Linked DNA regions of Oryzias latipes. The protein of the gene in region 1 purifies or fractionates together with the protein of each later gene. This does not show direct contact. Links are inferred from orthologs where the notes say so. Each region holds a gene or a part of one and is shown on either strand. Other genes may lie near its edges.

What was found.
Region 2: the proteins of rnf8 (region 1) and mad2l1 purify together in Homo sapiens (co-immunoprecipitation; 3 studies listed by BioGRID and IntAct, with this or other methods). This does not show direct contact. The link is inferred for Oryzias latipes from reciprocal best matches to the Homo sapiens genes RNF8 and MAD2L1.

The regions. Positions count from the first base shown.
Region 1 is NC_019882.2:5,926,837-5,938,280, forward strand, and holds rnf8 (E3 ubiquitin-protein ligase RNF8), read right to left. Parts: upstream 6,669-11,444; 5' UTR 6,514-6,668; coding exon 6,391-6,513; intron 6,268-6,390; coding exon 6,139-6,267; intron 5,382-6,138; coding exon 4,939-5,381; intron 3,315-4,938; coding exon 3,110-3,314; intron 3,025-3,109; coding exon 2,965-3,024; intron 2,866-2,964; coding exon 2,776-2,865; intron 2,679-2,775; coding exon 2,571-2,678; intron 2,478-2,570; coding exon 2,273-2,477; coding exon of another isoform or gene 2,266-2,272; intron 2,180-2,265; coding exon 2,147-2,179; intron 420-2,146; coding exon 232-419; 3' UTR 29-231; downstream 1-28. Other genes in the region: aida (axin interactor, dorsalization-associated protein), read left to right, coding at 7,563-7,669, 9,983-10,049, 10,134-10,187, 10,629-10,683, 10,773-10,836, 10,912-11,009, 11,168-11,176. UniProt on the Homo sapiens protein: E3 ubiquitin-protein ligase that plays a key role in DNA damage signaling via 2 distinct roles: by mediating the 'Lys-63'-linked ubiquitination of histones H2A and H2AX and promoting the recruitment of DNA repair proteins at double-strand breaks (DSBs) sites, and by catalyzing 'Lys-48'-linked ubiquitination to remove target proteins from DNA damage sites.
Region 2 is NC_019876.2:30,701,980-30,713,573, reverse strand, and holds the start of mad2l1 (mitotic spindle assembly checkpoint protein MAD2A), read left to right. Parts: upstream 1-8,679; 5' UTR 8,680-8,800; coding exon 8,801-8,864; intron 8,865-9,333; coding exon 9,334-9,480; intron 9,481-11,115; coding exon 11,116-11,236; intron 11,237-11,594. UniProt on the Homo sapiens protein: Component of the spindle-assembly checkpoint that prevents the onset of anaphase until all chromosomes are properly aligned at the metaphase plate.

The DNA.
Region 1 (11,444 bases):
ACATGAAAGAGTTGAAAACTTGTAAAGATAATGGTAAAAGTAATCAGGAAGAAACTTTAATCTTTTCACTGAAAAACAAGTACACTACACAAATAATAACTTTACAAAAAGAAAACATAAGGAAGTTTTCCTCATGATGAGACCAAAGTGTTCTTAGTGTAAACTAAAGATCCCGAGGGCTTTTCTTGTTGGAGGGCTTTGCGAGTCCGTTTTTTGCCTTCCGATTGAGAGTTAATCTTCAAGGTCATCTGAGATCTCAAACTCTAAATGGTCGCTGCTTTCTGTGTCCACAGTGAACACAGAGCTGAGGCTGCTAAAAATGGACAGCATGCTTCCATCGCTCTCGACGGTGCTGCTGCTGCTGCCGTCGCTGCTGCTGTCGTCATCGTGGATCACCATCACCTCTGCGGCGTTGGCGGCTGGAAAACAGAAACGCAGAGTGAGCCGCCCTTTCTTCCTGGAGAAACTCCACTGACATACGCAGCACTAATACGCCCGGCTAACAGAACAGAAGATGAAACATATTGTATTGTCATCTTGTGTAACGGAGGGTCTCTCGGCAGATCCCCTCTGGTGACACCATGACATGTTATTAGAAAGCCTCCCAGCAGCTTCCCAGCATTCCCTGAGGTTTGGACCCTTCAGCACTTTCTGCTGCTTTTGAGCAAAGGGTCACTGAATGGACTCTAGTCACAAAAGTTGATATTTTTAGACATTAAACCCTAAAACCAGGAGATAGTCCACTCGTGACAGAATGAAGGGAATGATTTCCAAGTTGTTTCAGGAACTTGTGCTCTTTAACACATCTGAATAGATCAATACATTTGAGTTTCTACCTGGGATGCACTCCGGTGAAAATCATGTTTGTAGTGTTTTTAACATGTTATTGAGGCATTTTTCTCATGAGGGAGGACATACACTAAGAAAATCAATTTTGAGCTGGCATTGGTTCTAAACTGTACGGCTGGGTAGCTCCGATATTGCTGCAAGGTACCAGGAGAGTGTGTTAACAGATGAAAGTGCGGGCGGGGTTACTCTGCGCTGATGGTCCCTCCCACATCTCTAATTTCTAATGAAAACAACAGATTTATTTTTTTATTTGGCTAAAAATGACCGTCATGATTAAAGACCAATAGGAATTCTTTGAAACTAGATGAAAAGATGATCAAAGCCTAAGTCACATGACCCGTACGGGTGCTGCAGGTCTTTGGGTTGTCTGGGCCCGTGGGGGGTCGTAGAGAGGCGTGGCTGCCTCTTAAGGGGGGGGTACAGGTGTGGGTTGTAGTTCCCTTAAAACTCATAGGGTCCCCTCAAGAGACGTCATGAAAATGGAACGTACCAATGTCGTGCTTGTGGTAAGTGTTTTGTGGGAATAATGTAGTGTAAGATGAACACTTGTATTTTTAGGATTTGACCAAATCTCTTCTCACGATGAGCTATTTTCCTTCATGGCGTCATAAGGAAAGGCTCCATTCACACAACGCTGTTACTGTGACCCCGCCCACCTATATCAGTACTGTCACTTTTCCACTTGGTGATGGCACAGTTGTTGAAGAGGATATTTCAAATTGGCTTTTCTCGTCATAAAGGTTGCTGTCCCCTACTGTAGTCCTTAGTAATAATAATACATTTTATTTATATGGTGCCTTTCTAGACACTCAAGGTCGCCTCACAGTACAAAATTATGTAAAATCATAAAAATATAACAACAAAACGCCACAAAACACAAAATAAGTTAACAGTTAAATCAGCAGTTTAAATATTATGAATCCAAGGCAAAAAGGTGAGTTTTGAGATGTTTGGAAAACAGAGAGATGGTCCATATTTTGTAGATCAGAGGGGAGGGAGTTCCAGAATTGCGGGGCTGAGCTGTTAGCAAGGATCGAGGACTGGCTCCTTACTGAGCGTGTGCAAATGTTGCACGGATGAGATGTGCATATGATACACAAGTGCCCGTTAGATGTCCACACAAACTACGCTCTGACGGTTTAATTTCCTCATTTCTAACAGTCAGGATCCGTGCGAGGAGCGCGCATTTATCACTTAACAGCACTAACGAACCTCTTGTGCAAAAATCTGAACGAAACGCACAAATTCCTCTCCTGATCATGTGACATTGAAAGATCAGTCCAATTTCCCCACTTACCTGATTGGACACTGCTTTCACAGACCTGCTCACCTGAAGACAGCAAAAATAAAAGTCTTTTAACAGCTCTGGGTTAACACTCGAAAGCTTTTCGGTCCAGTCGAGCATCACAAACGCACCTCTCACCTTTCCTCTCGTTGATGACGCTTTGCCTCTTCTCCTTGACGTCCAGGCTCAGGTTCTCCATCATGCGCTCGATGAAGTTGTCCAGGGCCAGGCAGCGGCTTTGGGACGTGATGGCCTGTCGGCAGATGGGACACTCTTCTTTCTTTTTGCGCCACTGGGTGATGCAGTAGGAGCAGAAGCTGTGAGCGCAGTTCAGGGTGACTGCCTGCAGAAGACGACCATAAGACGATCCAAAAAATGTCACTCTAACGGTCGGTGGTTCTCATTTGCAGGTGAAGCTAATCTGATAAGAGCCCACCTCGATGAAGAGTTCTGAGCAGATGATGCACTGAAGCTCGTTCTCCAGAACTTCAGTCATTTGTGTAACCACTTCATCTTTCTGGGCACGGGCCCTTTCCTTTTCCTCCTGAGGATTTATTGTGATTATTATTAATTATATATATTGTGATTTATTGTGGCATTCAGGGGCAGAAGATGAATAAAACTAAGGATTTTGAACAGACCTTCGTGGCTTCCAGCTCTTTGTTTTTGGCTGAGAGAATCTTTTCGAAGGCTTGTCGAGAGAGGGCGTGTTCAACGATCACTTTCTTTTGCTGAGAATAGATAAAAACAATACTTATCCTCAATAATGTCACTTCATAATCTCATAAATGCTGTCCGTCTACGGAAAGAAAACTCCTTTATTTTCTTACTTCTTGCAAGGCATCGTTCAACTGCTTTCTCATTTGCTCTTCCTGCTGTGTTTTCTGATGCTAAACACACACACAAAAATGCTTCTTTATCCCCACAAAACTCACTTCACATCCTGCTTGTAAAACAGACTGAAGCCACCCTCACCTCTGGCCACCTCCGTTCACTGAAGGACTTCTTTAAGGTCTCCATCTGGTGCATTTTGCCTCGGAGAGTCCCCAGCTGACTCTGCAGCTCCTGGACCCGCTCCCGGACCAGCGGGTCACCCTGCTGATCTTCTCCCTCCAGAGATGCTACCCGTCTCTGGGTGTCATCCACCTGCTCCCGCAGCAACAGAATGTTCTGACTGTACCTGCAAACGGTTTTGGGAAAGAAAAATGATGACGCACCAACACAAGCATCATGTTGAGCTGAAGTCACTGCAAAAACATAAATAAATAAAAAAGGCAGATTCAGATGAACACAGTCTATCAACATATTTCTAGATACAGGAGATAAATGCAACTGAATCTGAATGAAATAAAAGATCAGGACAAACTTGTTATTAGAGCTCCACAGCAGCTTTTTCAGAGGACAGAAGATTATATAACAATGTAAGATGTAATAGAGGAGGAATCATTATCATATAAGTTTGATTCTCCCGACTTCCTTTCAAGCAATTGATCAAAAATATATTTGACAATCATCATATTTAATTAATAAATAGAGCATTTTTCCTGTTGTAAAACACCTTAAGAGTGCTTTACATAAAATAAAAATAGTGATTAGGAAAGCCCCCAATACACATACGCATTATGCAATACACAAAAACAGTCCATAAAAATCAAATGAAAACACTAGGAAATGTAAGAGTTAATTAAAAGCTAAGCAAAAAAGACGATTTATACGATTTTTTCTTAAAAACCTCCAGGGTGGATGAAGCCCTCACGTCCTCAGCCAAGCGGTTCCACAGGTGAGGCCCCTAATACTGGAAGGTGGCTTTTGTTCTGAATGTGTCTATGTTTTATAATGTCAAGAAGATGGTATCGCTTTATGTTATTTATTTTCTAATCAATTGATGATTTAGTATCTTAAATAGATTTGATTAATCTGTTTCCTTTTATTATTTAATATGTTTAAAATGAAAGAAACAAATCAGTCTGAGGAGCCACTCCTACCTAGTTGAATTCATGCTCACAGTGGGGCAGGACAGTGAGCAGAGTCCTCTCTGAGACCCTGCATGATTAGAGAACAGTACTGGGAAAAGCCACTTCCGTCTGGGAGGGGGTTTGACGCAGGCCTTATTGATGGAATGGCATCAATATTACATCTGTGGTGCTTGTAGTTTGGTCTTTTCCTAAGCTTATTGTAGTCGGTCTATGATATTTCTAAAATAAAAGGTGGTGTTGTGGGGAACTATTTTAGTTTGATGTGAAACACAGATGTTTGAAGGCTCAGCCTGATGTATTTCTTCTGGGTTTCTAGTGAAATACAGTGGTCCCTCATTTATCGCCTGGAGATCCGTTCTAAAAAAACAAAACAACCTTGCAATCTGTTGAATCTGCGACGTTTCAAGGGTGTAAACTCCATTGCTACACACTTTTCTCAGACAGACATGAACATTTGTACACTTTTCTCTCTTGTTTAAACTTTCAAAGTTCAAACCTTTTAAGAAAAGATCGTCCAGTGTTATAGAATGAAAACAAGGTGTGACCGCGATGGAAGATTCATGCAGGTTTGCCAAACTGAACGCATTCAGTGCAGAAGACATGGCACGGAGTCTGAAGTCTGACAATCTCTACAAGATGCAGAACAGTGTGCTGCGTATGTACATTTTTAAATTCAAAATAATTGAACATAGTCAAATTAATAAATAAAAACATGCAAAATTGCACTAAAAAACAGAAAAAGGTGAACTGCAAATAAAGTTTATTTGAACTTTTTCCCTTTTGCGTGTTCACTTGTGTATTCTACAATGGAAGTGAAAGTTGGCTTACATCTGTAGGTTGTCACAGGGAGGTTGGGAGCCATCAGAACGTTGCCTCGACTCCTGGACACGTCTGCCGGATGCGGTCTCCTCCGGCTGGGAGCGACTCTGTTGCAGCTGGCATTTCTTTAGAGGCGGAGGGCAGGCTTTTGCTAAAGACTTGTCCGAGGAAGAGCGGCGGTACAGCTTCGGCTTTGAGGTAGAAGGCTCATCTTCTTCCATGGTCATCTTCCTCTTGGAACTCTCAGTGATGGCGGCTGCTGTGGCTCCCTCTTTATGCGTTTTTGCCAGGTGGAGTTTAATGTCTTTCAGGGGCTGCTGGACCAGGACGTAGTCGAACTCCACTTTGGACCCCATTACAGGAACTCCCAGCTGTATGGAGTCTCCAGGCCTGAGGAGATGGGCTTCATCAGCCGGTATACGGTTTCCGTTGACCCAGACACCATTGAGACTCTGTATAAGAAATCAGCTGTTACTTTCATATTTATGTACATTTTTTAATTGAAAATCATCAAACCATTTAGGATTTTTAGGCCATTCACAGGCTGCACGCAAAGAGTGCACAATTGAACTTGAACAGCACTAAGGGGCCCCTTGTGCAGGATACCAGAGATACAACCTGTCGCTGTCAGCAGAAAAGTATAAGCATGAACGTTTTTCTCTAACTGGTCTCACCATGACTAAAGCAAAAACATGAATGGTTACCAAGGAGCACTGTGACTATTTCAAGGGCAGCTACTTTAATTAAGCCACAGATATTATTTTTTTTAATAGCAAAATAAATAAACGCAGCCAAGAAAGAAAGTATAGCCACACATATTTGAAAAATTACGTGCGAATAGTCATTTTTTAAATTTAAATAGCCAGAATTCTAATTTTTATGCAACATTTCAAATGGAAAACTTGCCTTTAAAGCAAACAATGAAGCACACAAATATAATAAGGGGTACGATAACATAAAATCGCTTCCTCCCACCCCCTTTTGAAAATATTAATTAAACTTCATTTGACAAAATTAATATTTAATGGACTCCATGTCTTGTATTGTATGTATTACTGTGCATGTCTATCCAATTAAGTAATTAAATGACCTCCTAGAAAGTGCATGTATATCTTTATGTGCTTATGTCTTCTTTTACGTTTTAATTTTCCAATCATTTCATAAATAATTATCCTAAGTCTGACATATCTATGGTGAACGTCATTTCACCTTCTTGTCCGTCACCGTCCACTGTCCGTCTTCTTTTCTCTTGAAGGTGCAGTGCAGCCTGGAGATCATCAGAGGACAACTCGCTGACAGGAGCTGGTACGTCACGTTCACCCCGCGTCCAACGGTGACCTGCAGTCGAAACCAATTTAACCACAGTTCAAACTGCTGAAAACACAGGGGGGGAAATGGACCAGAAACACAGAAAAGTATGCGATTATTTAGCTAATTTAGCTAGTTAGCGAACATTAGCACCTCTGTGTTTCCGAACAAGCGAAGCCACTCGGATTTTTTCCCCACTCTCATGAGACACGCCACCTCCGAGTCCGAGCTGTCCTCCTCTTCTGCCGAACAAGATTCCGTGGTTGTACTCTCCATATTATCTCATTTTTTAAAGGTATAGAAACGATATAACGCCGCCGCAACAGTTACTTTGCTCAGTCACATAACGCTCCCATGCTAGCTCTGGGATAATTTTACTAGACCGGAAATCACCGGAAGTGTTCATGTGATGTTTCAAAATAAGGCACCCAACGGTGCTTTCTTACCAAAGAGACTATAATTATATTTTTTATAATAATAAAAATAAAATACATATATATTAAATTGAACGATGATTACATTACACTCTGAAGAGGCTTTTTTTTACTTTAATTGTTGTAAAGTGGTTAAAATGGTTTAAATATATTCTAAAGAACAATTAATGGCTGAACTTATTGCTAACATTTATACTATTTATTAAGTTTAAAACAGCTTGTTTGAAAATATGTCTATACTTTAGTTAAATTGTTTTTTAATAACTCAATAAAGTAATATCAAGCACCACTCTAAAAAATAATGAGTTTGATTGTAAAACACGTGAGAGTTCAAAATATTCCCGATGTATTAAAAGGAAACAACTACAAGGTGCATGTGATTGTTATGTAAGTTACGTTAAAGACTGGAACCTATGTTTGTTTACTTGTTTTTTTTGTGTTATAAACAGGATGAATATTTTTGTTTTGTTTGTTTTGTGTGTGAATTTTCTCATTTTAACAATTATTATTATTATTATTATTATTATTATTATTATTATTATTATTATTATTATTAATAATAATAATAATAATAATAATAATAATAATAATAATAATAATAATAATAATAATAATAATAATAATGTAATAGTAACACGAGGCTTCAGATCTTCCGGGCGACCCCGCGCTTCAAATCGAGCAAACCCAAGGCTTTCGGGCGGGACTTCCTTTCGCCCGCGGATGTCACATCAGGGTCGGCCAGGCTGAAAGGGCTTGGTCGGGGTGTCACCGGTTTGTGCGCCAAACTCTGGACCGGACGAGCAGGCAAACTGGCCGACGCTGGAGCCCCGCAGATGAGCCTCCTCCTCGGATATGCTGTCCTGAGAGCGCCGCACGAATCCTCCCGACAAAATGTCTGATGTAAACAAGACTATCCAGAAATGGCACGCCAGTTTTAGGAAAGGCTCAGACTTTGACTCGTGGGGGCAGTTGGTGGAGGCGATAGATGAATACCAAATGTAAGTCTACAACATGCGTGTTTGCTCCGCCTGTGGTAAAAGCTGCGGGGATAAGGACCGTGGGAGACAGAAGTTGCCCCGGCAGCTGTCAGCAGTAAATACATCCCTGCCCTCCATGATGACGGGATGTGGCAGCAGAGCTCCGTGCGGTTGCTGCATCCCGGTTTCAGTTTCGTCTTGGGTGTTGTGTTGTGTTTGTGTGCGTGTGTGTGTGTTTTCTGCTCTAAAGGAGCCAGCAGCTGCTCCGCGGAGAATTGAGAAACAGTCAGCCACACCCTCTCGTTGTTCTGGGCGGGTTCTTTGTGTTCAGAGAGAAACGCCATTTTTTAACTTTTCAAAAATCACATTTTTCATGAAGTGATCTGCTTTATTACTTAATTATTATGATTATCTGCTGTAATTGTCTTTATTATATTAATATCGGGTTTACCTGGTAGTGCTTTTGTTGGCCACAAGAGGGCGTGAATACACAGACTGCAATTTAATATGTACAAACTTCAAATGTATGGAACGCCGTTAGGGACATTTTCTGCAATATTTCTGCATAAAATGGGTGACCACATGCATTTCCCCCCAAAAAAGAAATAATATCTGGGTTAAAACTGACATTTAAATTGAAAGTTCCCACTCAGATGAATTTTTAACATGCTTTTGTGGCATTTTTCTCACGATGAAGGACAAACATTAAGAACATAAAGTTAACATTTTCCTCTCTAATTTCTTTTTTCCTTATTCAAGAGCAGAAGAAAAAAAATCTGTTTGTAAAAGATTGTATTTGTGACGTAGAAAACAAGCTCCCTGTTCCATTCTTATGCATCCATTTGTAGACAACTAGACTGGACAGCTCGCCATTTTTGTTGCATAATCATAACTAAAAGAGCACTGGGAACACTTTGACAAAAGATCAAAAGATGATCGGAAGGGGACTTTTAAAAATAATTTCAGTTGTGATGGAAACATTTTAACATGTCCTTCATAAAAGCATTTTATTTTCAGTTTTTTTAAGTAAACGATAAGAACTTAACATGTCTGTGAAGAAACTGGATTTTCTAGAAAGGACTGTATTGTATTAATTCGTAACCCCGTCAGTTTCTTGCACACAGAAATAATGAATAATGACTCAGAGACAGTTACTTATCTTTGTTTTATAAGGAGTCATTACTCAAAGCGAGCACACACCACAGGGGCCGTCGAAAAAGGGCAAACTCAGACACAGACAGAGAGATATAAAAAGCGTTACACACACATAGTTTCCCCGGAGCTCCGTTTCGTCTCAAAAGTCACACTCAGCCTCCCAAGGCTCTATTTCTTCGGCTCACTCGCCGCGGCTGCTCCTACACTTATGCCTACACTTCCATCCCTACACTGCCATTCCCACCGAGGAGGGAAGGCGCCTACACTAGCAGCCTCGCGCGCCGCCCACACTTTTCCCGTCCGCGCAGGATGACTCGTGCACGCGCAGCACCTTGCCTGCAAGCGGTGCTCTGTTCAGCGTGCTCGCGCAGCGGACTGCAGCCGTTTCTCTATTCTTCCCCCAACGTTGATGCACGCACACACAAGGACACAGACACAGTCAACATAAAGCCCTAATAAGTAAAGAGAGGACAGACTTTCTGTGTGGCGTACTCACTTCAAGCAATGAACCTCGCCATTTGATGAGGGTCCGAAGTCGCCGAGGGCACCACCGGATCCAAGGGCAAGGGCCGCCGATCCTGAAGGCGGATGTTTCAATGCTGAGGATGTGGCTAGCGGTTTTCGGGCAACCCCCCCCAGGGGTTCCAGCGATGTCCAGGGCGTGCCGGCCGGCTCAGAAGGAGCAAATGTGAAGAAACTGGATTTGTCGACAGTTACTTATCTTTTGTGGAGGTTTTACTTCGTACAAACACGAAGGGGACAGACAGATGAACATGGTGCATTCAAAGTCCGAACCAACGAGCTCAGGGATGGGGTTGGTATAAATGCATTTGCATATTCAGAAGATCGTCCGATGGACCCCGTGTGAAAAACACGCCCACAGGTTACTGCTGGAGAGCAGTTCCAAGGCTAAAGTGAAGATAAGTCTGAGGCCTGCTCAGGAGATCACACATGCACAGAAAAAGGGAGTATGAGAAGAAACTGTTAGAACAATAGCTTGGCTGTGCTGTCTTCAAATGTAATACAATTTTGAGATGACAATACATGCTCAGTGAATTAAGTTTAAACCATTAGTGTAATAAAAGTTAAAGGCAGTTTCTAACTATTCTTCACAATGTCTGATTTATTGTGTTTTGTAAGAACTAACGATGTTCTGTGTTTATTTGTGGTTTTATTTAGTCTAGCGAGGCAAATGCAAAAAGAGATCCACACAACAAGTTCCACAGATTTCACAGAAGAGCAGAAGGTGATCTTATTGATTTACTGCAAATTTATGCAGCGCTCCTATCCTTTTCTGCAGCTAAAAACAACGTTTCTTTTTTCTGTCCAGAAAACTTTAGGGAAGATTGCAACATGCCTGGAGATGAGAAGTGCGAGTCTGCAGGTTTGTGTCACTTTTATTGTCTTTGTGTTTGTGTGTGTAAGGGCAGACATAAAGAAAGTCCACTTGGATGTCACTTTTGGATGTATTTGTGTCAGTTTTGTTGTCCGTTTGCATCTGTAAAATGTTTTTGGTACTTTAAGTCATTTGTATTTCTGTTTCAAATTTTTGGTTTTTGTTGTTGCCTTTTGCTAATTCTGTTAAACATTAATGGTTTTACTTGCATTTTTTGTTCAAGTTTTTTGCTTCCTTTAGGATTTATTTAAGTATTTGTTTAGCTTTTTTGGTTGCTGGGACTGACTTTAAAATTGATCTGTTCCATTTTTTTCTATTATTTTGGCATTTTAAAAATGTTTCTGTGTCTTTGAATAAATAAACCAGTTTATTAGAAAGATCCTGATTTAATTATCTGAGCTCAAATGTCCCTTAAATGCATTTCCTCAGTGCACACAGTCAATGGAAGAATTCAAATTAGAGGACCTGAAAAAATTAGAAACCAGTAAGTAAACAACAAAACATTTGTATGAATTATTGGAACCTTTGGGTTTTTTTAACAATATCTTTTCTCTTATTTGTTTTTGTTTGCAGTAATAGAGAATATCCTCACCTATAATAAAGAATTTCCTTTTGATGTCCAGCCCGTTCCCTCGAGGTAAAGAATTGAGTTTGTTTATTGTACGGGAGTAAGCATTGCTTTAGTTTTAAAGCTCTTCTTCTTGTTGGTCAGAAAAATCCTGGCTCCAGGAGAGGAGGAGGATCTCGATCTGGACGATGATGAGGATGCGGGGGCGTGTGCGTCTGAGGCTTTCGCGTCGCGAGCTCCTGGTACGGTAAACCCCACCCGCCCGGCCGCCGTTTCGTTGATCCGTTTCGTTCACGTCTCCTCATCTGTGAGGGCCATTTGACCATGCACGTCTTTGCTCTCTTTGTCGGAGTCATGCATGTCTTCATCGCTCATCCCTGCCTGCCCGATTCATTTCCAGCTTCTCAAGGTACGGCGTTTTGTCTTTTAGTGCCCGTTTTTCTCATCAGAGCTTCTTTTGTTTCGTTCCCTCAAAAGTGACATTATGTTTTGAGGAACTCCTTAGGTTTTCTGTTAAACATTCAACAAAGACGTGTCAGTCTGCAGGTAACCTCAGAGATGGTTTGAAATAATTAACTATCTGGTATGCGGCTTCAAAACACTTCAGGGAGATGAATAAATCCGTAATTCTGCAAATATTTTCATTTATGTTTAACCTTAAAGTGAAGAATGTCCTT
Region 2 (11,594 bases), on another chromosome or scaffold:
CGCTCCACCCTGCCTCCACCCTGCCTCCATCTGTCTCCTCCTCATCCTGCGTGGTCCTTTGTGCCCCCAACGGTCCCGTTCTCTGCACTCACATCCTTTCATTTTGGGCTCTGGAGGCAGATGTGACTAAAAATTCAAACTATTTACCCCGACAGGGGTAGAAATCTTTCCAAGTGAAAGAACATGAGAAAAGCCGCAGAAACATCATCCCATAAAACACACAGGGATTATTCAGGTGGAGCTGACTTCCAACCCGCAGACAGACAGCCGCAGGTCTCCTCTGGGTGACGAGACCCCAGACAGGACAAGCAAAGCGGACCGGAACCAGAACCGGGGATGCTCACCTTTGCCGTCTTTCTCCTTCTAACCCGAAACTTCTCTTTATTCTGGCGGACCGCGATCACAAAGGACGGACGGAGCGCCTGTCAAACTGTTCCGACGGACGGGATGGTTGACCAATGGGGTCTTCTGAGGGGGCGGGTCTTAAGGTGGACCATTTAATTATTTGGTTTTGTTTAACCTTTATTTATCCAGGCAAGACAGACGAAGACCTTTGCCCTAAAAGGGTAAGACCTGTTGAGAAAGAGAAATGAGATACAGGAGACAGAAAAAATCTGAATAAAATAATTAAAAAATGTTCTTTCATTTGCAGGTAAGATTACATGTTTCAGTTAGGGGGGGGGGTTTGTTTGTTATTTTGGCCTGGGTTCACCCTGAAGCCTTTTTGCTTCACTTTTAGTTATTGTTGGTTGTTTATTTATTTATAAATAAATTTGGTTATATTTTGTATGGAGACATTTGTTTGGTGTGTTAATTTAAAATTCGATAGCCAAAACCCTAGATACAGACGGGGGCGTAACACCTTGTGCTATCCTAGGCACTTTATCTAGGCCACTAGATTTCTAAAGTCTGTCTTGAACAGTGTGTTGCCATCAATTACTCAAATAGTTAACATGTCTCTTCAATCTGGAATATTTCCCGAGGCCTTAAAAACTGCAGTCATTAAACCTCTCCTGAAGAAAAGCGGTCTTGATCCCACTGTACTGAATAATTACAGACCTATCTCTAATCTGCCATTTTTAGGAAAAGTCCTTGAAAAAGTTGTCTACCAACAGCTCACTGATTTTCTCTTATTAAACAATTCATGTGATGTTTTCCAGTCAGGTCTTTTTTTTTTTTCGTATACTTTATTTATCCCTCAATGGGGAAATTCTTCTCCGTATTTGACCCATCCCCTGGGGGAGCGGTGAGCGTTAAGGACCCTCACTGAGTGATGTTAACTGCTCGTCATTGATATGATAATTGCCCCCAGTACCATTGTTTCTTCCCCTCCGGGAATCGAACCCTGGATTCCTGCATGGTAGCCGCTCACCTTACCCACCGAGCTACTCAGCCGTTTTGGACCCCATCATAGCACAGAAACCAACGACATCCGCCTGAACACTGATGATGGCAAAGTCTCTGTTAGACCTGAGTGCTGCCTTTGATACGGTTGATCATGGGATCCTTTTGTCGTTGCCTCTGCTCTCCAGAAGACGGCGTTAGCTTCGCCTGGAAAAAGGTATCCATGCCGGGCCGTGTCGGCTTCAGGCCAGCAACAACCACGGCTTTCTCACACAACTCCAGATGATGCAGCTTCAATGCTGCTGGCGCGTCTATTAACTTGCTGCTCTCCCTATTTTCTTGTTTTTCCCCTCCGCCATTTTTTTTTGAATATGTATTCTTCTTCGTCCACCCGCAACAGCCAATCTCGCTACGTGCGCCCCCTATCGACCCTCCGCAAAATCGTCTTACCAAAGGATGATTAATATTGTAACGACCCGGCCGGTACGTCACTATAGCCCAGCTGCTATTAAAGCGGCTTCACTGGAGAGCTGTCCGTGGCCCATACACTGCACGACAGTCTCAGAGAGGAAGAAAAAGGAAGAGAAGCTAAGTCTCCTTTTCAGTATCAACTCCCATTTATTCAAACACACACAGCATGGAGTTCAATTCTGCTTCCAGCCCTTACACTCAGGGTTTGCCCCCATGATTCCCCACTTCCCATGAGTCTCAAGGGCTGAAGGCGGGGCTAACCCCCAGGTTGCTACAATATAATGTTTTACAGAGTCTTCAAACGTAAATGAAAGGTCAATACTTGATGAAAACGCACAGAGAATCAATCACGGGACTACATATCGTGATATATCACCACGTTGATATTTTGGAACACCCCTACTCATATAATGTTTTGAAAAACTGGCCATGACCCTCATCACAGATTCCATTGATGTCACCAAGGACCTGCACTGATATACATACAGGTCAAACTCATCCACAGAGGACGCCATCTCCTCTGTGGTCCACACAACCCTCACCCACCTAGAGAATAGGAATTTGTGCATCAGCTTTCAACACCATCATCCCACAGACCCTCATACAAAAACTGCACACTTGTGCTGCTGCTTATGTCTGAGGAAAGGAGTAGCCAATCACAAAAGTGTCTCCGCCTTATCTGGTTTGATTGACAGACAGAAACATTCTCCTGAAAAAGCTCTTCATGAAATAAATCAGTCATTGTGAAAAACAGCAACATGAAATAAAAACAAAGCTACTTTGGAAAATATTGATTTTGAAATCCAAGGTTCTGAAAAAAGACGTAGAATTATAATAATATTCCACATGATTAAAAATGAATATTTTAAAATGCTGTTTTAAAATAATGAACAGGTTTTTAACGCAAAATGAAATATGTTGAATAATATAATGGCTAATTTTAAATCTGTGTGCAGCTTTTTCACCATTTCATGATCTTTTTTATATATTTATGAGAGATTTATTGGTTGATTGTGTATTTGCATGAGGTCATATTTATTTATTGAATTAAATATTTATTTATTTAATTATGAACAGGATAGAACTCCATAGTTCTCAGGGCGGACTTCGTCCAGTCCCGGAGCTTTGCTACCGAGGAGCTCATGGACTGCCTCAGTGACTTCAGCTTGAGTGATGGACAGCCCCACCCCAAAGTTCTCTTTCTCTGCTTCCTCAAAACGTCAAAATCACATATTGTAAAAAAAGTATTCCTTCTAAATGCTGATAGATGGATTTTAGAATATGAAACCATAGGAAGTAATTATCAATCAGAAGAGCTTTTAACCATGTCATTCTAAATGTAGCTTCAAATTGATGCCACCTTTGTCATAACTTTTAAATAGTTGGGAACGTTTGATATGGGGGGTTTGTTTTTCCACTGGACCTGAAAAGTAATTGAGTAAACCTTCTTTAACCTTTGTGCTATCTTAGATGCCCCCCCCCCCCCTTCCATTGAGGTGTTCTCCCCACCATGACAAAGGTGGATAAAGGTGGAAAGATTTCATGTAATCCATGGACACCAGTGAAGATCACAAATCATTGAAGAAAAAAGGTTCAGAGCACTGTCTAGTGGGTCTAGATGACCCACTGTCTAGTGGGTCTAAATGACCCAACTCCCAATGTTAAAGTTCCTAGGATAGAACAAGGGTTAAGTTTGGAGAGGATGTGTACAAAGAATAGCAGGGAGAAATTATCTTAGAGACTCCCTCTTTGGTTAACAAATTTCTCCCAAAAATAGTTAAAGCTCTTGTCAGTCAGCGACTTATACTTTGCTTCACATCAAGCAACCAGTTTGAAATGTTGACTTCTTCCGTCCTTATTGTGTTTTTTAGACAATAATGCACCCAGATATTTTCCTTCATTAACAATCCTGATGGCTTCAGTAGTTTGGTGATGACATGAATAAACAGGGATAATTTCACATTTTGTAAATTTTCAAGCCTGATGCTTTGAAAAATAACTGAAACCTGTTTTAGAGCTTTAAAAACCTCTATGTAATTTTTTAGAAGCCACTCCTTTGTTATCCGGGTAACGTGTTTGGGATGGTTGTCATGCTGAAAGACCCAGCCATGCTTCATCTTCAATGCTGATGGAAGGAGGTTTTCACTCTAAATCTGACCATACATGGCCCCATTCATATTTTCCTTTACACAGATCAGTCGTCCTGGTCCCTTTGCTGAAAAACAGCCCCATAGCATGATGCTTCCACCCCCATGCTTTACAGTAGGTCTGGTGTTCTTTGGATGCAGGTCAGCATTCTTTCTCCTCTAAACAGTAGAGTTCCTACCAAAAAGTTCTATTTTGGTTTCATCTGACCATAGGACATTCTCCCAGTCTTCTTCTGGATCCTCCAAATGCTCTCTAGCAGACTGTAGACGGACCTGCACATGTACCGGCTTTAGCAGGGGGACACGTCTGGCCCTGCAGGGTTTGAGTCCCTGGTGGTGTAGTGTGTTACTGATGGTAGCCTTTGTTCCTTTGGTCCCAGCTCTCTGCAGGTCATTCACTAGGTCCCCCATGGGGTTGTGGGATTTTTGATCACCGTTCTTGTGATCATTCTGACCCCACGGGGTGAGATCTTGGGGGGAGCCCCAGATGGAGGGAGACTCACAGTGGTCTTGTATGTCTTCCATTCCTTAATAATTGATTTCTTCACACCAAGCTGCTCACCTGTTGCAGATTCAGTCTTCCAGCCTGGTACAGGTTTGGTTTCTGGTGTCCTTAGACAGCTCTTTGGTCTCCATAGTGGAGTTTGAAGTGTGACTGTGTGAGGTTGTGGACAGGTGCCTTTCTATAGATAACCAGTTTAAACAGGTGTAACTAATACAGTTAACCAGTGGAGGACAGAGGATCCTCTACAGAAGTAGTTACAGGTCTGAGAGACAGAAATCTTGATTGTTTGTCAGTGACCAAAGACTTATTTTCCACCATAATTTACACAAATAATTAATAATAAATAAACTAAATATATAAATTATTAAAAAGATCGGACGATGTGATTTTCTGGATTTTTTTCACATTTTGACCTTAATAAAAAAATAAAGGCCAATAGCGGCAGTCCTCTGTGACACATGGCCGCTGTGACAGTGCATCAGTGTTCTGGTGCCGTGCCACTGGCCTGACTTGGCCTGTGGCTCCTCAATCCAGCGCGCCAGCTGGCCCTCCGGCTCCTTAAAAGACATCAGCCACTGTAGGGCAGCCTGATCAGTCCTGACCGTGAAATGAAGACCCCCCAGGTAATATCTGAAGTGTCTAATGGCACTGACCACAGCGAGGAGTTCCATTCGGGTGGAGCACTAGCCTTGCTCAACTTTGTTAAAGGTCCAGCTGTAGTATGCAACCACTCTGTCCCCCACAGGTCTTACCTGGGACAGAACTGCACCACAGCCCACATTGCTGGCATCCGTGTCCAGTAGAAAGGGCAGAACAGGGTCAGGTGGAAACAGACCAGGTGCTTACCGCTGCCATCTTTTCTGTGTCTATAGGTGTTTTATTCACAGATGGTTTGGGTGGCTCATCTGGATATACATAACAGACAGAGCTCTTCTTTTTTCTTGAATCAGACTTGGTTTTGTCAGTCATGGACAGGGTGTGAACTACATGGGACCCCGATCTAGAGGAAATTTGGTCATCTGGATAACATGTCCATCAGAAAATGTAAGGGTTCCTCTCTTGGTATCAATAACACAACCTTGGGCCCGCAAAAAAAAATCAAGGCCTGGTAAGCATTCTTCCAAGTCAGCAATCCACACAGGCCAATTCACTTGCTGGTTTCCCACCTCCAGAGTCACAACAGCCTCCCCCTGCATGAAAGTCCGTTCTCCAGTAACAGTCTGTAATGTTACAGCGTTAGGAAGGATGGCTGCATTATTCCTCACCACTGCAGGGCAGTGTTGCAGATGAACCTGTGTCCACTAAAGCTAAGCATGACGCTGCATCAACACTCATAGTTGTGAACCAGCAGTCACCAACCCAGGTTCGGCCCAAAGTCATTAGTCTCTCAGATGGGACTTCTTTGACCCCCACATGGCCAGCATTCCATTTCTGTGGGTCCAATCGGGATGGTTTTTCAGGGGGCCACATTGTCCCGCTTATGCGGTCCCGTTCCTGTTTCCTTGGTTGTCCGGGCAGTCACGAATCAAGTGCCCAGGTTTCCCACAACCCCAGGAGGTCCTGGGTCAGCTCCAGTCTCTTTGGGGGCGGACCTTGGATGCCTGTTCGTTTCTCAGGGTCACAGCTTTTACTAGCTGGGTCAGCTCCTCTGCCCGTGCAGGCCCCTTGGTGTCAGGCTCTGATACACTTGCAGCTCTAACCTTTGGAGGGGCCTCAAGCTCCACCCTGGAGGAGGGCCTCCACAGCATTTTTCTCTCTGTGGCCAGCTCCAGGGCCTCCTGCAGTAACTTACGGTGCGCTGGTTGGGTTTGAACGCGAAGGTCGTCTGGTCCCGGGCTAGCTCTTCCTGAATGGCTGGGGGCATGTGAGCATAAATCTGGTTAACTAATCTGTCGATGTCAACAGCCAGAACTCTTAATTGCTCGCCTTGGCCGAAAGAGCTGCCCCGGTAATGCAATTGTAGCGTCCCTTTCCCACACACTGAGGCACGGAGACTTAATCTCTTAACCCTTGTGCTATTTTAGATGACCCCCCCCTTCCATTGAGGTGTTCTCCCTACCATGACAAAGGGGGATAAAGGTGGAAAGATTTCATGTAATCCATGGACACCAGTGAAGATCACAAATCATTGAAGAACAAAGGTTCAGAGCACTGTCTAGTGGGTCTAGATGACCCAACTCCCAACGTTAAAGTGCCTAGGATAGCACAAGGGTTAAGGTTATTTATTCTGGTTACTGTAGGCTGTAACCAATGCTGCACAACTTGCCCAGAAACTCTTGTATCCTCCCGCTGAGAGCACTCCCCCAAACTTTATTCCCTTGCTCCTGCATCAGCCCCATTTCCTTATTCGGGCCATAGCTGAACCCTATTGGACCAAACTCCCCAACTACAGGTTGAGCGACAGAACTGAGAGCCAATCAGCATTTCTGCTTGATGCGTTCAATGAACACCGGAACTTAGAACGCGACCCCACAGCCACCCAGTACACTGTGTTACATAATTTTTCACCACACTGGTTTAAAAAAATAAAAGACCCTTTTGGGTTATGACAGGTTCTTAAAAAATATTTTCCAATAACAAGCAAAAAGAATTGAAAATTGTAATGAAAGCTCTTCCCTCAGGATTATTTCAACTAATGACCTCTCCCCGTAACCCTTGTGCTATCTTAGGCACTTTACCGTTGGGAGTTGGGTCATCTAGACCCACTAGACAGTGCTCTGAACCTTTTTTCTTCAATGATTTGTGATCTTCACTGGTGTCCATGGATTACATAGCGCACCTCACTCCACTCCGTGCTGAAAACAAATCCACACACACACACAAGAAAAACGTGCCAAAGAAACTTCCACTACACACTAAAAAGGAAATAAATACAGTGAGGAAGACGCTGCCACAAGGGGCCCCTTCACCAACACCACACGCACTGGCGCCCGACTCACACCTATGCAACAATAAAAAGGAATCAGAGTCAACAACACAATAAATACAGCACCACTCTAAAACACATTAAAATGTATAATAAGGGTGGGTAAAGAACACGCAGTGGCTCATGACATCTGCAACACGTCCAGCCGCTAACAGAATCTAGTTAAAAGAGCAGAATAAAAATGAGTAACCGGTGATCTACATTCTCCGACAAGAGGAGCTTCAGCCATACATACCACCATGCAGGCAGGCAGCCACTGTCTGTCAACTCACTCCCTGTTCCTTATAAAGAAGCAGAACAGCTGAACTACATCCCCAATCAAGCAGGCATGCACCTGTCACAGGCCGACCTGCCGGTTACTCAAGGGTGGGGACATAAGATAGCACAAGGGTTAAATATCACAAGGCATCTAAAAATAGACCCTCTATTGACAATTAATGATATTGATATTTTCAATAAAAAATGCTACAACAAACATATATTTACTACTTTATATGAAAAAAGAAGCATAACACCTAAAGGAGAAATTTATTGGAATAATATTTTAACTATCATTTGGACAAAAGCATAGTTACTGCCAGAAACATTTGGCATAAATAACAAAATTAAAGAAATACACAAATGAATTCTACATAACATTTACCCCACACTATGTTCATATTCAAATTCTCAAATATAGGAAATAACTGTAGCTTTTGTAATGATTTCCCAAAATCAGTTCTTCGCCTTTTCTGCCATTGTCAATTCTCCCTTAAATTCTGGATCCAATTGAAAAGATTTATAAGCATGAACAGTACTATTATTATATATTTCAAACACATTCTTACATATTTTAACTCGCAGGATCAATTGGTAGGAAATAGTATTGATTTGTTACTACTTCTATTTAAATAAGTGCTGAGTAAAAAAAACCAAAAAAACAATTTTACAGGATTTTTGATAGAGATTATCAATTTTACTAATATCTTCAAAAGATTATTACATTCAAGGCATAACACTGAAACAATATGAGCTTTTTTGCTTGATGAATAGTTCCCTCTACTGAGAAATACTTTAATATATTTTTATTTATTTTTGTTTTTAAATTTTCCTTTTTGCTAACGATGTCCCTGTTAATTTTATTTACATACTATAATTTATTCTTTATTTTTTAAGATAACATTGATTTTTGCCATCTGACGGTAAACTTGCCGATGTGATGTTTACTGTTGTATAAATAAAGTTTCAAAAAAAGAAAAAAGTCATTTTCTCCTGTCTAGGGTTGACCACGTGGGGAGGTCTGTCTTTTTTGCGCATGCGTAGAGGTTGTCACTGATTTTTCAAATCGGACGGCGGGTACCAGTTTCAGCCTTCAGTGCAGCAAGAAGCCCGACGTTTCTTTTCAACGGTTGATTGTCATTTCATGAAATGACGAGTACTTTAAAAGGAATCACCCTTAAAGGAAGCGCGGAGCTGGTGGCCGAGTTTTTCTGTATGTTTCAACATTTGTTTCTGTACTAGCCGGGCTTTTCAACGGCTCTTCCTCATTTGTTGTGTGCTAGCGGGCGGTCGGGCCCGCGTGCTCGGTTGTTGTGTGTAGCCAGCGAGTGTATTTACGGCGGCTCCAGACCGAAGGCAGAGCCCTAAACCGTCGCAGCATTTTAAAAGCCTTCCTTCTGAAGCCAACTTCTTAAAGATCGAATGGCTGCTTCTGGTCGATGTGTAGGTTAATGGCGGCTTTCTAACACCGCCCACCGCCAGGTGTGCTGGTAAAGAAGCCGAGCGTCACCAGAGTTAAAGTAGGAATGCTAGATTTCGGGTTGAACAGACACAAACTACTTATCATCGGCTGAGTAACTAACGTAGAGTAGTGTGGACGAAAAGAGTGTTCTCAGTCTTTGACCTGAATTAACGTCACAACCCCCCCCCCGCTAATAACAGCCCCGTGATCCTCCCCACAGCCTTCGGCATCAACAGCATCCTGTACCAGCGGGGCATTTACCCCCCAGAGACGTTCACCAGGGTCACTCACTATGACATGAGCCTCCAGGTCTCCACGGAGCCCAGGCTGAACAACTACCTGACCAACGTGGTGTCTCAACTCAAAGGTAGTTTGTCCTTTCTTTGTCCTAAAGCAGGCCGTGTCTGTTAGGACTTTATTTTTCTATTTCTTAACATGGAGGCAATGATCAAGATGCAATTCCTGTCTGTCAGCGTCCAGCAAAGGCTTATTGAAGACAAGAGGCGTGGGATATTGTTTCTCTTTACAGATTTATGGGATATGGAGGTGGATGTTGGGATGATTGACACCTCATGTTGTTTCCACGTGTCGATGTGCCTAAATAGTGATGTTTTCCTGCCCAAAAGTCCTCTAAAAGCCCAAAGAGTTCATCATAATTTAGGGTCAGACGCAACATTGAAGAATTTACACAGATTTCTCAAAGTCATTACAGAAATGATGAAATGCATAGATTAAAACCGTAAGTCACATTTGCTTGATTGAATGAGACACAAACTTGTCTTTGTGGTTCTTGTCAGTTTGGTCTTGAAGTTCCTGCATCCCCTCACTTTGTTCCTCCTTCATTTTCTAAGAACTCTTTTGTGTTGTTTGGTATTGAATGGTAACGATTTCCCACTGGCTCTGAATAGAAGTTAAAACACAACAAGATCATACAGTTTTAGAAGTCTGGATTGATCAAATTGTTTGTATGATCAGGATATCCGGCTTTATGTTCAGTTCTGACGGCTCATTTTTGAAGTAAACAGAGGATGTAGTGAACTCTTAGAATCAGTCCCCCAAATTTCTACACAGTCGGTCAAATATGGTAAAATTAAGGAGCAGTGTAATAAATATCTACTGTCGTATTTTAATATGTTTAGATTTACTTATGATGGAAATACTTTTGGAGACTTTATTTTGTGTGTGTCTGATGTGAGGCTTTAACTTAGTTTGTCATCGATAAAAACGCCTGAGAATCTGAATTCTGTAACACTTTAAATTAAGACATTTATTTTAATTGAGACATCGGTATTGGTGTAGTAGTTAGCAAAATATGTCACACTAGTTTTATCTGGGTTAAAGGAGGATTTGTCGTCAGCCATGATTTTATTTTGTGTGACCCTTGTTCTATCCTAGGCACTTTAACGTTGGGAGTTGGGTCATCTAGACCCACTAGACAGTGCTCTGAACCTTTTTTCTTCAATGATTTGTGATCTTCACTGGTGTCCATGGATTCCATGACATCTTTCCACCTTTATCCACCTTTGTCATGGTAGGAATAACACATCCATGTAAGGGTGGGGTCATCTAAGACAGCACAAGGGTTAACTCTATGTTCACCACATTAAGTTCCCTATGATTGTTTGTAGAATGGAATAGAATAGATCTGTCATCAGCAAATAATGAGTTTTAATAGTTGTGAGACATTGAATATATCATTTATGTAAATACTGAATAGCAGCGGGCCCAGAATTGATCCTTGTGGGACACCACAAGCTATCTATCAAGAATCAGCAGAAAATTAGCATCCTGAAGACGTTTGTGTAGCTCGGTTCGTGTGTTGGTGGTGTTGAAACAGCAGGAATAGGTTTTTCTTGTGTCATGTTAGAACAGGCTTGTTTTCCAGATGGACACACCTGGTCCAGGTAAAACGGGACGGTGATCTGCAAATCTCTGAGCCTGGACTTACCTGGTCTGCGTGTTAGGCCTTAAAGCAGGCGTGTAACGCGGGTTTGGGTTTCAGAATGGCTGTTTGAGTGCAGCGTGCAGAAGCTGGTGCTGGTCATCACCTGCCTGGAGACCAACGAGGTGCTGGAGCGATGGCAGTTTGACATCGAGTGTGACAAGTCGGCCAAAGAGAGCAGGTGAGCCCGCTCTCCAGTTCCAAATGTCTCAAGAGGAAAGGAGCTTCTCCAGGGGCTGGCTATCCCACCACCGCTAGCGTGATCCGCGGCGCGCTGTGGCGTGGACGAGAAGCGCATTTCTTCACATAGGCGTGTTCTGAAGCAGAGTTTACATTTAAATGTAGGTCAAGGCTAGAAAACCCATGTTGTGTGTTTCTCTAGCGCTGGCAGCTAAATGCTAACGTAGAAGATATGCAGCTATTGATGACGCCATCCAGGACTGGTAATGTTCAAATGTTTCCATAACTGCTGGAGGGGGGATGGGCAGGAGCTGGGAGGAATTGGGATTCGGTTTAAACCTTAAAAAAGGTTTTCTGTG